Mytilus edulis: one gene and its partner. The protein of the gene in region 1 purifies or fractionates together with the protein of each later gene. This does not show direct contact. Links are inferred from orthologs where the notes say so. Each region holds a gene or a part of one and is shown in the gene's direction. Other genes may lie near its edges.

The links.
Region 2: the proteins of U2 snRNP-associated SURP motif-containing protein-like (region 1) and calcium homeostasis endoplasmic reticulum protein-like purify together in Homo sapiens (affinity purification with mass spectrometry; 4 studies listed by BioGRID and IntAct, with this or other methods). This does not show direct contact. The link is inferred for Mytilus edulis from reciprocal best matches to the Homo sapiens genes U2SURP and CHERP.

Annotation. Positions count from the first base shown.
Region 1 is NC_092346.1:87,102,717-87,109,947, reverse strand, and holds the start of U2 snRNP-associated SURP motif-containing protein-like, read left to right. Parts: upstream 1-4,225; 5' UTR 4,226-4,276; coding exon 4,277-4,339; intron 4,340-7,231.
Region 2 is NC_092344.1:19,672,797-19,680,649, reverse strand, and holds the start of calcium homeostasis endoplasmic reticulum protein-like, read left to right. Parts: upstream 1-4,829; 5' UTR 4,830-4,918; coding exon 4,919-4,946; intron 4,947-6,773; coding exon 6,774-6,926; intron 6,927-7,853. Other genes in the region: MAP kinase-interacting serine/threonine-protein kinase 1-like, read right to left, coding at 390-717, 1,070-1,369, 1,603-1,858, 2,173-2,431, 2,629-2,726, 2,964-3,159, 4,596-4,634. UniProt on the Homo sapiens protein: Involved in calcium homeostasis, growth and proliferation.

The DNA of each region.
Region 1 (7,231 bases):
GATTAAAAAAAAATCTCTTAAACTACACTGTAAAAACAGCGTTTAGATTTGAAACGGATCTACAACATGTTTAGGTCTAAACGTGTTTAGGAAAGCGTTTAGGATCTAAACAGATTTTTATCTAAACACATAAAAACCTAAACGTGTTTAGAATTTAAACGTGTTGCAGGGTTATTATCAGTGAATGTTATCATTAAGCTAAACATTAAATGGCATCTAAACACTTCTGAAACACTTTTCTAAACACCTAAACACTTTACAATATTTCAGTACTGGTTTCACCTTTTTACCCGATGTTCCTACATATTCCAGCATATTCTGTGAAACTATGATATCGTGGCTGTCTTGAAATTAAAATTATTTTCAAACTTCAGTCCCAAGTTTGCGGAGCTTCTTTATTTATGAGAACAAATCATATCATCTTCCCCAAGTGAGTTTCCCTTTTTTGTGTTGTAAGATTATTGAATTACTTTGGGTTTTTTTATAAGTTGAGCAATTAGTTGTTTATACCAGGGACATATGAAATAATCTTTTATAGTATTTATAAGGAAGATATGAGTGAATATATTTTCTCTAATTTCCGGAGTCGTTGTCCGAATATGATCTTATATTAATTAACGAACAGAGTTATCTATCGTGGTAATTTGATACGGACGCCTTCGGACCCGCCAAAGACAAACAACATTTTAAAACAATGGATCACATCTATCAAGTATATATATCTATTGGCGATGCAACAGATACAGAACTTCATATTAGAATATTGACGGAATCAAAAGCCATCTTAACAGTTATTACAGCAGCGGAAGGTAAGCAGATCCAGATTTCGTAAAAAGGGGGAGGGGCACAAACCATAATTTAACAGACTAATAAAAGGCATATGTTCGTTAAACTGTTAACCTATGCTATTTCAAGTTCACTATTGTGGTATGAATATACACGCATAATCAGTCGGAGGGACCAAGCATAAAATAAGAATGAGCTAATTCAGAAATTTAAAATGAGATTGAATAGTCTAAACTGTCACTGACACTGTACATATGATAATGTCATACAATCATAGTTTCAAATATTTTAACTTTGCAAGGAATAAGATCACAGTGGCCCTTATTGCAACATCCTTTACACAAACACTGAAATTATAGTTTCACTTCATTTGTCAAAGAGAAACAAAGAACCAAACATCCAAAAGGACATTCAAACTCATTACTCGAAAATAAACTGACATTCAAACTCCAATGTCAGAAATAAACTGTCAAGTTGTTCTTTTTCATATAAACCTATAATAATTATTTGTATGTATGCATTTATAGGACTGGGACACTGTACATGTAGTGGGAATGAAAAGAGCTAGAATTAATCCATATTATAGATCAAATTGAAGAACAGATCAGAAAGAAAGCAACGAAGAAAGAAAAGGATGACTTAATTTCAAGAGCAGATGTAAGTAAAAATATATAAGTATATTATTAAGTTGCCAATAGAAATATAATATGATTGAAAAATGGAGGTTAAATCATCCTCTAATATTTATCCTGTTGAATAGGTAAAAAAATGGGCAATTAATTTAAAAAAAAATATATTCATAATAAATAAATTAAAAAAATAGGAAAAACAGGCTTTAGTTCTCAGAAATCAAGGATTTTGTTTTATAGGATAAGAGAATATAAAAAAAAACTTGCATGCTTGTTTGCTCTATATATTGTTCCCTTTGATTTGCTTGTCTTTCGATGTTTAAATTTGTACAAGGTGTAAAGTATAGCCTTTTTAACTACAATTTGCATTTTTCTTTTGTAAGAATCTTTTTCAAGAAGCTTGTTTAATGTATTTTAATAAACATGATCTAAGAATAAGTGACTGTTGCATACAAATGTACATGAAGGTTTCATTTTTTCATTTCAGGATACAAAAGTTCACTTGACAACCAAAAGGAACTGCACACCAAGAGCCTTTATCATTCAAAAGAAGATTGTTCCGCAATGAAAAATTCCTGTATGATAGGAGATGGACTGACAATTTCTGTTTTGTTGAGGATAAAAATCATCAAATTTTATAATTTTATTTTTTGTTTGCATTTAGTGAGACTTAAAAATAAATTATTGAAATAATTTGAATAGATTGTATGTTATGTTTAAGACTAGATCAGAAAAAAACAAAAACAAAAGAACCAGACTCCAAGTTGTATAAAAAGGTGGAAGGTCCATAAAACGTATAAAAAATCAAACACTTGACTACATAAACAATCAAAAGGAACGAAAAAAAAAGTCATATTCCTGACTTGGTACAGGCTTTTCCTTAAAAAATAATGGAGGGTTAAACTTTGTCTAATTGTTTACAGACTTTTCAAAACTTGGTCTTATTGTTTACGGACTTTTCTTAACTTGGTCCTATTGTTTACAAACTTTTCTTTGGTCTCCAGGAAGAATAAAATGTGTAAACCTATTATTGTTAATATTATTATTATCATTATTGAAGTTTTCAAGCTAATATGATATTATTATGTAAGTATTTCTGTATTGACGCAGTTGTCATTTACTGATATAGACAAGTCATGGTAAAATTCATTGCAAGAACATTTAGCAGAAATGTACACGTGCATTGTATATTCTACAATACCGTGTGGACTATTCAACCTGTAGTGCTGTACCACAAGAAGTTCCTGTGAAATCATAGTACTAGTAGGCTAACCGTTGGTAGGTCTAAACACCATATATTTCTAAACATATAACATCTAAACACTTGTTGAAATCTAAACACTTGTTAAAATCTAAACATGTTTAGATGCTAAACGCGTTTCAAAACGTACACAGAAGAAGTGTTTAGATAAGTGTTTAGGATCTAAACACTGTTTTTACAGTGTATGGGGTCATTCGTCCAAATGTTAGCAGCTCAGTGTGGAGCGAAAAGAATCGATGCTATGTCTCTTTTTATTAACTGTGTTGTTCATTTGTATTTCTTTATCTAAAGGAGTATTTGTGATTTTTTAACATTAATCAAATTATGATAGACTAGTACATAGTTCATTTGGTACATAGATTCTACAGCTAAATTTAGTCATAATCATCCGACTTAAAGAGATGGAAGTTTTCACATATACAACCGTTTTTCATATAAGCTTGCATAACCTTTATAAACAAAACTCAATGTTCACTGTAGTATTTCTCCATATTAACTGGATTTTTATTCACAACAATATATATATGCTAAGTGGTCTCTCTCGTCTTGTGCAGCAAGCTATAATATATGTATGCTCTAAATATCAATATACTGAAAGTGTAACAAATATGCTACAAACAAACTTATTTGTTAATTTCTATGTCATCATGGTCATTTGGTCTCTTGTGGAGAGTTGTCTCATTGGCAATCATACCACTTCTTCTATTTTATATTTACTGGCCATCATTACAAGAAAGAAGACTTAAAAAACGATTAAATATGTTCAATGGAATCACGGCACCAACAACAAAATGTTCATACCATATTACTGTTATACTAATTATTAATTTAAGCAAAGCAAACACGAACAAACATTACGACAAATTCGATGCTGCAAAGAAGCGTTACAAATTTTCATTTTTCTGCTGCAAACTATTAAAGAATATGGAATACATGAGGGTCTGTAAACATTTAATTTTCACCCCTTTTTTTCTCTAATCTTTAAAAATTAACCCCTTTTTTCTCTAACCTTCAAAAAATTAACCCCTTTTTTCTCTAATCTTCATTTTTTTTTGCCCATTATTCTGTAATCTTCATTTTTTAAGGGTATTATTCTTTAATTATTTAATTCCATCCAAACCCTCATACATTACCTGAACCGCAATAGTCTGCAGCACCAGTACTTCAGTGATCTTCAGTGCTTCGGGGACACACTCACCAGAGAAATTCTCATTGACTCTAACAAATACCTACATGCATATCCTGTATCTTGTTATACCAAAAATAAAAAATAAAAATTGGAAGTTTAACTGACATTATCAATGATTATTAAATATAGAAACAGTGCAAAATAATTATGAAATTAGAAAAATAGATTTTTAATTAAAAACAAATAAACTTGTTAAACCAAGCATGTGCCAAAAATACGTCATCAACCCGTTGGTGTTCTTTCGATTTAAACGAAGTATTGAGCAAACTCTAATAATCAATATATCTCATGAAATTATAAAAAAAAAATAAAGAGAGTAGTGAATCAAGATGAAACACGTGTCGGTGATATGTCCGGAAAATACTCCGAGATTGTACCGAATTTTATTTATCATCAATGTGAGGAACCAAAATGGCGGAGAAAAATTTACCTTGGGGTTTGAAAAATGACAAAATTACCCCTGGTTCAGTTAAGGTGACTAGTTTATGTCATATACCTCATTTATAAAGCACACTTGGTATTGTCCACCTTTAAGGACTGGTCATAAAATGAAAGCGTTATCTTGTCTTGCACATGATCTCATTCTGATATAATTTCACATACTCAAGCATAATCATAAACAGATAAACATAGTCTGGGAAAATATTGTCTTTTTGCGACATAACAGTAAAAATCCTGCAATCAAGAATTCAAACATTAATCTGTGTTTATGAAACCTGCTTAGGGGTATAATGTCTATATAAAACAAGTCTTGTCAAAACTGTAAATACATTATATAGCCTAATCAATGTCACCATAATTGCCGTTGGTATCAAGAAATAATTGAGACAAGATCTTCTTCTTCTTCTTTTGGTTTCTAGCGATCCTTCAATTATTGAAGATTATTCGCCGGGCGTCGACTATAAAATTTATAATTTACACTAATTTAGCAACAAAAAATCAAAAATAACAAAATCAAAAAATCAACATAATCTGTGAAAGATAAACAATTTAACAACAAAAATGACATCAAAGGGAATGAACTGGAATTTTTATGAAGTGGTGGCAACAACTTTATCCAACGCAACCGCACAACCATACTGTGAATAAACACATTTTATTCCACATGTTCCAAGAAAAAACGGTCTCACTAATTAGCGACAAAAAGAATTATTTTAGGGACATGAAACGACAAGAAAGCAAATTTTTTTTTTATTAAAATTACTTATTCCCAAATAAATATTAAAAGAATATGCAAAAGAAAGCAATTTTAGCGACAAGAAAGTTAAAATTGATAGAAAAGAAATTCAAACATTTATTTACATGATATTTTATCATTTATTATGCACAACAGTATAGTGTTTTAGAACAATAACATATTTAACTTATAATTTGTTTTTAAAACTCTATTTGTACAATATATGATAAACTTGCAAAATGCATTATTTGTGCATCTTTGTCCAGAAAATACATACACAAATTGTGAAATCAAACGAGAGAAAAAGAAAATTAAAATGTGAATATTTTTCATTATTTTATTTTGTGTATTGCCTCATTAAACGATATTTATCATGTTTAGGCCGAGAAAAAAAAAATCGATGTTACGGTAACCCGACCGACCCTGTTTTTTAGCCCCGACCCTAACTTTTTTATTGGATCTTCAAAAAAAAAAAAAAAAATTGTATCAACCGACCCCGTTTTTGACACAGGATTCTGATAGATGACATAATATTTTTTCTCTCTTGCTTCTACTTGCATAGAAAGCCAGTAAAACATTTTATTAATGTCAAAAGGTATTCCAAATAGGTTAAAATCCAAGAAATTTGCACAGCAGGTGCTTCAAAAACATTGCAAATGGCACACTTCCGGTTTTTGAAACTAATTACGGATCCGGACTTGGAAAAACCATGATAATTTTCCGGATTTCATTTACGATGTCCAAAAAAAAAAAAAAAAAAAAAAAAAGAAGTATTCCGACCCTATTTTTCAAAATGATGTTACCGGAAACACATATCTTTTTTTTTTAGGCCTTATGCATATTGATTGAAGATTAAAGGAAAATAATGACAATCTTGAGTTTTCAACAGGTGTTCACTATTTACAATGATTGTATTCGGGCGCATGTAATTGTATAGTCTGACCGTGTACAAAGTTGAAGGTGTTATTGTAGCAATAAAACAAGGAACACGTGCCTTGTTATTCTCAGGTGATGTTCTGCATTGTGTGTACTGTTATTACTGCCATATTTTATGTTGTTCCTATCAACATGATCAAGAATAATGAATTATACTGTTAGAAAGGAAACAATATATCAAAGAAAAGTTGAGAAAATCTTTGTTTTTATTTCCCTTTTAAAGCGTGTGCATACATTATATTTAACATATTCTTTATATTTAATAAAAAAAAAACCTACACAATCCCTTTCTTCCTAACAAATGTTTAATTTCTTCATCTATCAATATAATAATATAGACTACACAATCCCTTTCATCTCACAAATGTTTAGTTTATTCATCTATCAATATAATAAAAAAAAATATCAATTTATTCCTTCGCTAAATAGTCTTCTTGTCGCTAAAACTTCTTCTTAACGCTTCTTGTCGCTTCTTGACGCTAGTTGTCACTAATAAGTGAGACCCAGAAAAAAGGGGCATTTTAATCTGTCTATTGACCATGAAGGATTGGAATCAACCAGCATAAGTTACATGTACATCGTATGAAGAAAACAAATTATGTTTAACTATAATTTGAATATTTTTAACATGTTTAATCAAATTACTCCCCGCATGCAACAGTTCGTAATATTAAATGAAGCTGAAACTGTAATAACTGTTTGTATACCAGAAGGAGATCAGTCCAGAGCTGCTTTTTTTTCAATTTGCACAACAAAAATGTTGCAATTAAAAATCATTAATGGCAAAAGAAGTACTGTACATCATTGTACATGCTATACTTATACTTGTACATGCTATACTTGTATTTAAAACTTTTCACCTTTTTCCATCTTGTTATTTTTTTGGGCGGGTTCTCTAAATTGTTTTTCCCCTTGTCAAACAATACTGTGATTTCTCCTTGGACTCATCACAATTTTGGCAGAAAATCTGTAATCAGCTAAATTCATTTAATAGCCATGATAGCTATGGGCAACAATAGACTTATTGCTAAAGGTGTTCATTGTATTGGTTAACAAAATAGTGTGGTTGAATAGCACTACATTTTTACATGTCATTTAAAGAATTTGTTTATAACTTTAATTTGATAGAAATTATTGTTTTGAAGTGGGTACTTCTGACACAAGAATTTTAACTACGCTCATGTTTGAAGCATAGTTGTATGACTCAACTTTTTCTTTAAAGTAGTGACATAGTACATATTTTTAAGATGTAA
Region 2 (7,853 bases), on another chromosome or scaffold:
CTGAAACTAAACCTTTCAACAAAATATTATTGATCTTCTATACACAAACATACATAGAAATAAGTATTGATAGGATTTATCTCCCTTTATTTTAGATTAACATGACATACTTATCATTGTGGAAAAATAAAATTTCTTTCTTTATAAAAATGGATTTCCACTACAAGATCGTGTTGTTTTTATTTTTTTTGTAGGTGGTATTTACATGATATATAATGTACCAAATCCTACATCCATACTCGACACTTTTATACACAACACATTCTTACAATGGACAAAATACAAAATAGCACACACATTCAATACATGTATAAAATCTGTCAAGTTAAGCACTCAAAAAATAACACAACCAGAACAATAACTGATATCAAATGAGTTTGGTCTTTGTCTCAGATACTTATGCCACAACTAGATGAATGAGAGCTTGGCAATGAACAACCACTGTCGCTACTGTCCTCAGTAATTTCACTTAAATTGTTTGGTTTCCTGGCCATTGTACGTCTTTTAGCCAGTCCTGAACTTGGTGGAGACAGTTTGAAACTTGGTATATTAAACTTGTCATCATCATCACCACTTTCATATGCATCACAGTCAAAATCGTCCCTCCCACCAATAAAGAAATTGGGAGGCTCCGAAATCAAAAGATGTTGCTGCATCATTCTGTTGATTGAGACTGCTTCTCCAGCAAAACATTCCAGATCTTTTGTACTGTTGTTTCTGCAATATAAATAAGAGTCCAATGTATAACAGATAAAAGCTTTCATGTTTTCATCTTAAACAAAATTAAATGTCATGCAAAGTAAGACTTTAAAGAAATGATGCTTATTTCAAGCTTATCAAACACTAGTGTAAATTTATTTGCTTCAACAGTCATATTTCCGTCTCAATTTAATGTAACAGTTATAGTGTAAAAAACAAGACATTACATTGTTAACAATGTAAACAGGAAAAGCATCAAGTGGTCACATACTTTATCTGATGTATACAGGAAATTACGTTTTATTACATCCCACCAACATACAGTTCTTAATATGGAAATGTACACGACTTGTAGTAAAATAAAGCATACCTTGTAAGAATACCAGGAGTAGCCAATGGGGTAGGTGCTGCAGGACATGTGATCCATGGATGTTGTAGAACCTCCAAAGCTGTCAGCCTCTTCCTGGGTTCACGGACTAGTAATTTCTGAATGAGATCTTTGACATCGTTGGATACATCTCCCCATTCATTGTCAGGGAATTCAAACATGCCATCCTGAATTCTAGTGAACAAGGTCTCTTGACATGACTGACAGGCTTCACCTCTTTCCCAGCCACAGTCACCACCACATTGTCCATAGAATGGAGGATAACCACATAACATAATATACCTGAAACACAAAATTCATTTCTAGGTTACTCATTTTGAATTTCACTATTTAGCAATATTTAAGCACTAATCAATATCATCTTTCTAAATTATGTAAATGAAAGTTTTGAGTCTATGCTATTCAACAAGAAAATTACGAAGGAACACATTGAAAAGATTCATCTGGATAAATTAACACCTGAAAATTTTGCTATTTTTTTCTTTTTTTTAAAACCAAAATAGTAAAGAACTTACAATATAATTCCTAAGCTCCACAGGTCACATTTCTTATCATATGAGAATGATTCTCCAACCCAAGCATCAACAACTTCTGGTGCCATGTACTCGACAGAACCTACAGGTGTAAGAAGTTCTGGTGTTGTACAATTGTCTTCTGTCTGGCTACCTGGTACCCCACTAGCCAAATCAAAGTCACAGATACGTATTGGGACTACTTCATCAGTTCTCTCGCATAAAATATTATCTGGTTTGAGATCTCTGTGTGCAATGCCTTAAAAAATAATAAATAAGATCATATTAATTTGTGCTTGGAAAAATGTTCCTTTGTAGATTATCATTATATACAGAATATGCTAAAAACAATCATGAAATTTGATGCTCCTACTGCAAAATGTATAATGTATGGTTTTTTTTCTTCTTTGCTTTTTATGCCAATAGGTATCTTTACAACAAAGTAACTAAAATAACATTTTTTTTCTTCAAATAAATGTCAATCTATTAAGAGACATTAATTTAAGATAAATGCTGGAAAACTAGGACACTTCCACACTGAAGTATAATTATTTTTTTTATATATATATTTACCTTTTTGGTGAAGAAAGTTCAAAGCTATGGCTATCTGTTTGACTACAAGTGCAGCCTCTCTCTCACATAGGTGGCCTCTTCTTTCAATATTGGCAAGTAATGTTCCGCCTTTCATCTTTTCAAATACCAAATAAAATCTGTCCTCTTCTTCAAAGTATTCAAATAGTTGTAAAATATTATCCTGGCCTTGACAAATACTGAAAATCTCTATCTCTTTAAAAACCTTATTTCTTGATCTGGTAAAATCTTTTTCAATAACCTGCAAAATAAAATGATTTCATATAACATTTTTAACTTTCTTGATACATGTAGGTATTGTTTATTTATATTCATATTTTTAATTTTTGTAATATTCAACTGTATTTATACAAAATTCATAGTTTCTACTTATCACTGGTCATCACAAAAATGTGTTATTTGTTTCATTGATAATAAAAATATATATTTTGAAATTACCTTAACAGCATATTCTTTGTTCGTTGTGTTTTTTTTGTAGGTTTTAACAGCAGCACATGCTCCATTTCCAAGAATTTCTCCAGTTGCTGTATACAGATCTGTTAAAAAGAAGAATATTAAATGATTGATTCATACCATAAATACATATACAAACAGTAATGAACAATATCATTACATTGTTCAATAATAAAAACTTATTAAAAGGTCATGACATCTTCATTAGTGTTTCACATTGAATTAACCCACAAATATTATTAAACTTTTCAAGTTGTGTTTTCCCAAAAATACCATGAACCTTCTCACTTCAACTGCAAGAAAACAAATAAAAAAGTTACCTTCAAATTTTTTAACAGAGTTGTCAGCAGCCCTCCTTTTTTTCTTTTTATTTCTTGTTCTGATATTCATAGAGCATGGGCCGTTGTTGTTTTCCGAGTCTGCCAATTCCATATCCAAGTTTGTCATTATACTTTCGAACATTAAACTTTCTGGTCGTGGTGGTGATTGTGAGCAATACTTTGACTTTTGGTCGATCTGAAATAAAATGATACATTCACAATAAAATTTCATTCATATCTTTAAGTTCTACCAAACTAAATCCCAATCATCAATATAATATGAAAATCAGATAATAGGTTCAATTTACATGTTCAGAAATAAACACTTCAAAAATACCTTCTTCAACTGAGCATTGAAAATCATACTCCTCTGTTGTAAACCCTTTCACCATACTGACAAGACATTCACAAATCCATTCCTACTCTATTGGTTTTTCAAAATGAAATGGATTTCACCAAATCATTGCAATAGTAACAGTTGCATCATAAAAGTTTATTTATAAAAGCCAAATTTACTGGTAAAGTATATTTTAAGTAGTTGAGCTAAGGAATCTAAAATTAGAACTGCTTTGTTAAACCAGCCAATCAGAATGCTAGTTGATTAAGTCATTCTATGGTTTAGGATTTTCCATTTGGGCAATCCGCCAAAATATCAGTAAATACCTAAGAATATTCCAGACCTCTGACAAATTTTAAGAGTTAAATATTTAATTATCATCTATATTCATGATAATGTTTTGCTTTCTGATAAACATTTACTGTTTAGAAAACTCAGTTATGCTTAACATGTAATTGTGTCAACAAAGAAGTGGGTCATCTTCAAAATATTTACATTTCATACATAATCAATATCCATGGCCTTCATGTAAAGATTACAGTGAAATTAAAAGTAAATTTGAAATCAACATAATAGACAATATCTATAAAACTGTTAATAGTTTGTGACAAATATAAATTTTAATATAAACAATAGATGTAAATAACAAAAAAAAATATCTACTGGAAGAACTGGAATTATGCATGAAAATAATTGCAAACACCCTGAGGCAACACCAGAGTATTAAATTGTAAAATTTCAGAAAATAAGACCAAGTCAACAATATTTTGCAAAAATATTCAATGTTTTTAATTGTGGAAGAACAAATGATTGCAAAAAATAATTCTACTTACATCGATCATTTTAAATGCTGATAAAATTCCTTTTTAAATAAAACTGATTATTTCCTGATTATATTCCGACAAAATTTGTAAAATCCAATATTTCTAAACCGGTAAATGGTCATTAGACCTGAATAATTTTGATCACCCTTTCATTTCAACACACTCTCAATAAACATTCAAGACTGAAAAAGTTTACGTCAGCCAAGCTATTTATACTAGCACAGCTACGTGGCTCAACGTTGACTGGTTGACTCAACGATATGTGACCCCAGTCTACGTACGCAGTTCCACGCAATTTTGTTTACATCCGTCTCACAACAATGTCGGCCATGTTTACTATGGCGTGACCTACAAACAATGCAAATTTCTAAATTTCTGGTGTTAAATACAATAACAGCATTTGATATCAATCAAAATCAATCTTTTATTCATGATTAAAAGAAACCTTCTTAGTATCTCAATGCAACTTACTTCTATCATGACGCTTTTTGTATTAGAACTTTCAAGCATCCTCCCGCCGCTGTCACCATTTTCTCAAAACAATCAGTCGGAGATTTACGGAAGAATAATGAAAATTAATTTTTGAAATTAATTTCTAGAAAGCATCACTTTTTGTTTAAAAGTTAATGAAAAAGTTAACTTACGCAAAAAATATATATATAAAAATAAGATTTTTAAAAGTTGTAAAATTTAAGTCTTATAAACGTTTTAATAATCATAATTCAGCATATTTAAAGAGAGATAATTTTGAACATTGAATATTTATTTTTCTCACGTTTTGTGTGTAGAAAAAAATGGATATTCCACCAAATCATCCTGACGGTAAGTTTATGTATAGTTTTGTAGAAGCAAATTTTTGTTTGTTAAATAGCTTGTTTGTACAGATATTGATATGTGCAATTGTATTTATCTTAATTCTCAATAAATCATGATATTGAAAAGGTAAACACTGTCTTACTCAAGGGTTTGTTACTGTTAGTCTAAAGTTGCTGTCATGTCTAAATTTTCGACCTTTTTGGGGTTCATTTATGGTTAGTATGGAGGTTTTTCTTAGTCAGGTATATGTGTTGTGATCATTGATATGGTCAGTTTAGTATTTTGCTTACTGTTTCAATGTTTGGGGAGATAACATGATTAAGGTTTATGACCCCTTCTGTAGCCATTTTTGTACGAATATTTCAAACTTCAATTGTATCAAAACTACAGATGTAATGAATAAAAGAGGGGAAACTTGATGCAAAGCATTATTATTTATTGTTTCATTGCATTTAATAGAAAAAGAGTACTTTATGGCAAATAATCCAAGATTTTTATAGAAAATCCACAGCCTTTAATACAGAGATTTTTGTTATAAAATTTGAAACATAGATTACGCACTTGCTTTTCTATGATGTGCTGGTGTTTATTTTTTACAAAAAGTTCTAATCAACCTGCAAATTCCAAAATACCTCGTGCTGTCCGAGTCACTAAAGTCAAATGTACCCTAAAAGGTGAACTTGATTTGGTCCATATTTTAATTTGTTTTAACCAATAGCTACATTAATAAACTCATTTTAAGGAAATCAATGCTGTCACTGCATGCAATAATCTTATATCTTTCAGTCATGACATTGCCAAATATGATGGTACAAGGATAAATGCTGTGGATTTTCTATAAAATTTCCATATGTTTAGCATTTAATCAACACAAGGGACCATAATCCTTAACTGACAAAATTTGAATCCTTTAGCTTTCAATAAATTAAAACATAGAACACTGAAGCAAACACTCTTCTTTTTGTCAGATTGAGACACCTAAACCTTCGCAAAAGATAATGTACTTGTGTGTCTCCCTATTTTCCTTTCTTACAAAATGTATATCAAATATAAAGGATTAATTGCTTCAATCAACTTGAAACTTTGTACAAATGTTCCCTATGATATGATCCTTCTAATTTTAATGCCAAATTAGAGTTTTTACCCCAATTTCTTATTCCACTGAACATAAAAAATGATAGTGTGAGTGGGGCATCCTTGTACTATTGACACATTCTTGTTTTAAAATATTTTGTTTATTTGTGCTCACTTGTAATTGTAACTATATTTTGAATCACTGAAAACACAAATTTATAGTGCAAAATTCAATAATTAATCAATTACAGTCTATATGAATTAATAAATGTTATTTATATATCAGTAAAATATTCATTGCAATTCAATTTCTTGTGTTTTGGCATGGACTTTATTATATCAGTACACTGCAGTACAGTTTTGGATTTTTTTTCTCTGATCCTAAACCCTTTATACATGTACATGTAAAAATGTATATGGAATTTTTCTCAGATTACAATGGCATTGCACATCCTTTTTATTTTAATCTATTGGAAATGTGTAATTTAGTTTTGTTAGTTTGGTCACAGTTCATTCAGCTTCTATTCTCATTTATCTTCAAATATTATTGGAATATGTTTAATACCTTCTAACCAAAGTCTCAAATGTCTTCTAATTGAAACTATAAATCATAAGAAATTTTAATAATCCTCAGTTTCCTAAAGGATGAAAAACTTTCGTTTCATTTTGTGATTTTAAAGTTGAGGAGTTTTACCAGATGTTTTCAACAATACCATTGTTTTTAACATTTTTATTTAATGACTATTTTTTTCCTTTCAGAACTTGAATTAAAAAATATTATAGACAAATTGGCAAGCTTTGTTGCTCGAAATGGACCCGAATTTGAACAGATGACAAAACAGAAACAAAAAGACAATCCTAAATTCTCTTTTCTTTTTGGTGGAGAACACTATAACTATTATAAATTTAAAGGTAAGTTGATACATAGGTTAAGAGCAATTGTGTTGTTATTAGAAAAAGTCTCTTGAATAAGAACTTATCAATTTGTTAAATCTGTCATAGAACAATCAGTAAAATATATATTTTCTCAAAGAAAACTGACTGAATGCAAATTTTAAAAAAACTCAACATTATTTATAGAACAGTTTGATGTCAAATGCCAAAACAACAAATTGAACAGGTCTTTCTAGAATTTTATTCCAGATACATAATTTATAATGAAGTCAATGTATTTTTGTATAATTAAACATAGAATTATTAATAAATATCTTTTGTTTTGTTTTGTTAATCCAAAACTGTTAGAATTAAAACTGTAGATCGCATAGATCAAAGAACTTTATTATTTTTCACAGGTTTAGGAAAAGTTATATAACAGGTGAAAGAACTCTTTTTGTTATATTCTTAGTCCATTTTAATTCCCCCTAGGACTTCCTCTTTATGCATTTATTTGAAGAGATCAGAAATCTTTTGAAGATTGCATTAGTTTAATTATTTGATCTCTCATGAGAATTATCGAATTGATAAAGGTCAGACAAAAATATGGGTTAATCCTTTGATAACATGAAAAACAAAGCCTTGTTTATTTGAGATATATAATTGGAAATAATTTTCACACCATGATAGACATAATTTGTTAATTAATCTATTGATATTGACACCTCTCTTAATTACTTGTTGATTTCACTCTAAGGGTGTCATCTCAGAGGGAGTATGAAAACATCTAGAATTAGTAAAAAGGGAAATATTAAAAAATATGCAAATGATATTATAAGACTAAAAACATTTTTAGAGTAAATAGCATTTGACTTTAATATAAATTAATAGTTTTCTTAGAAGTTGTGTTCATATTTAAAAGAAAATAGAATACAATAAAAATATCATTTTTTTTATGTGATAGTC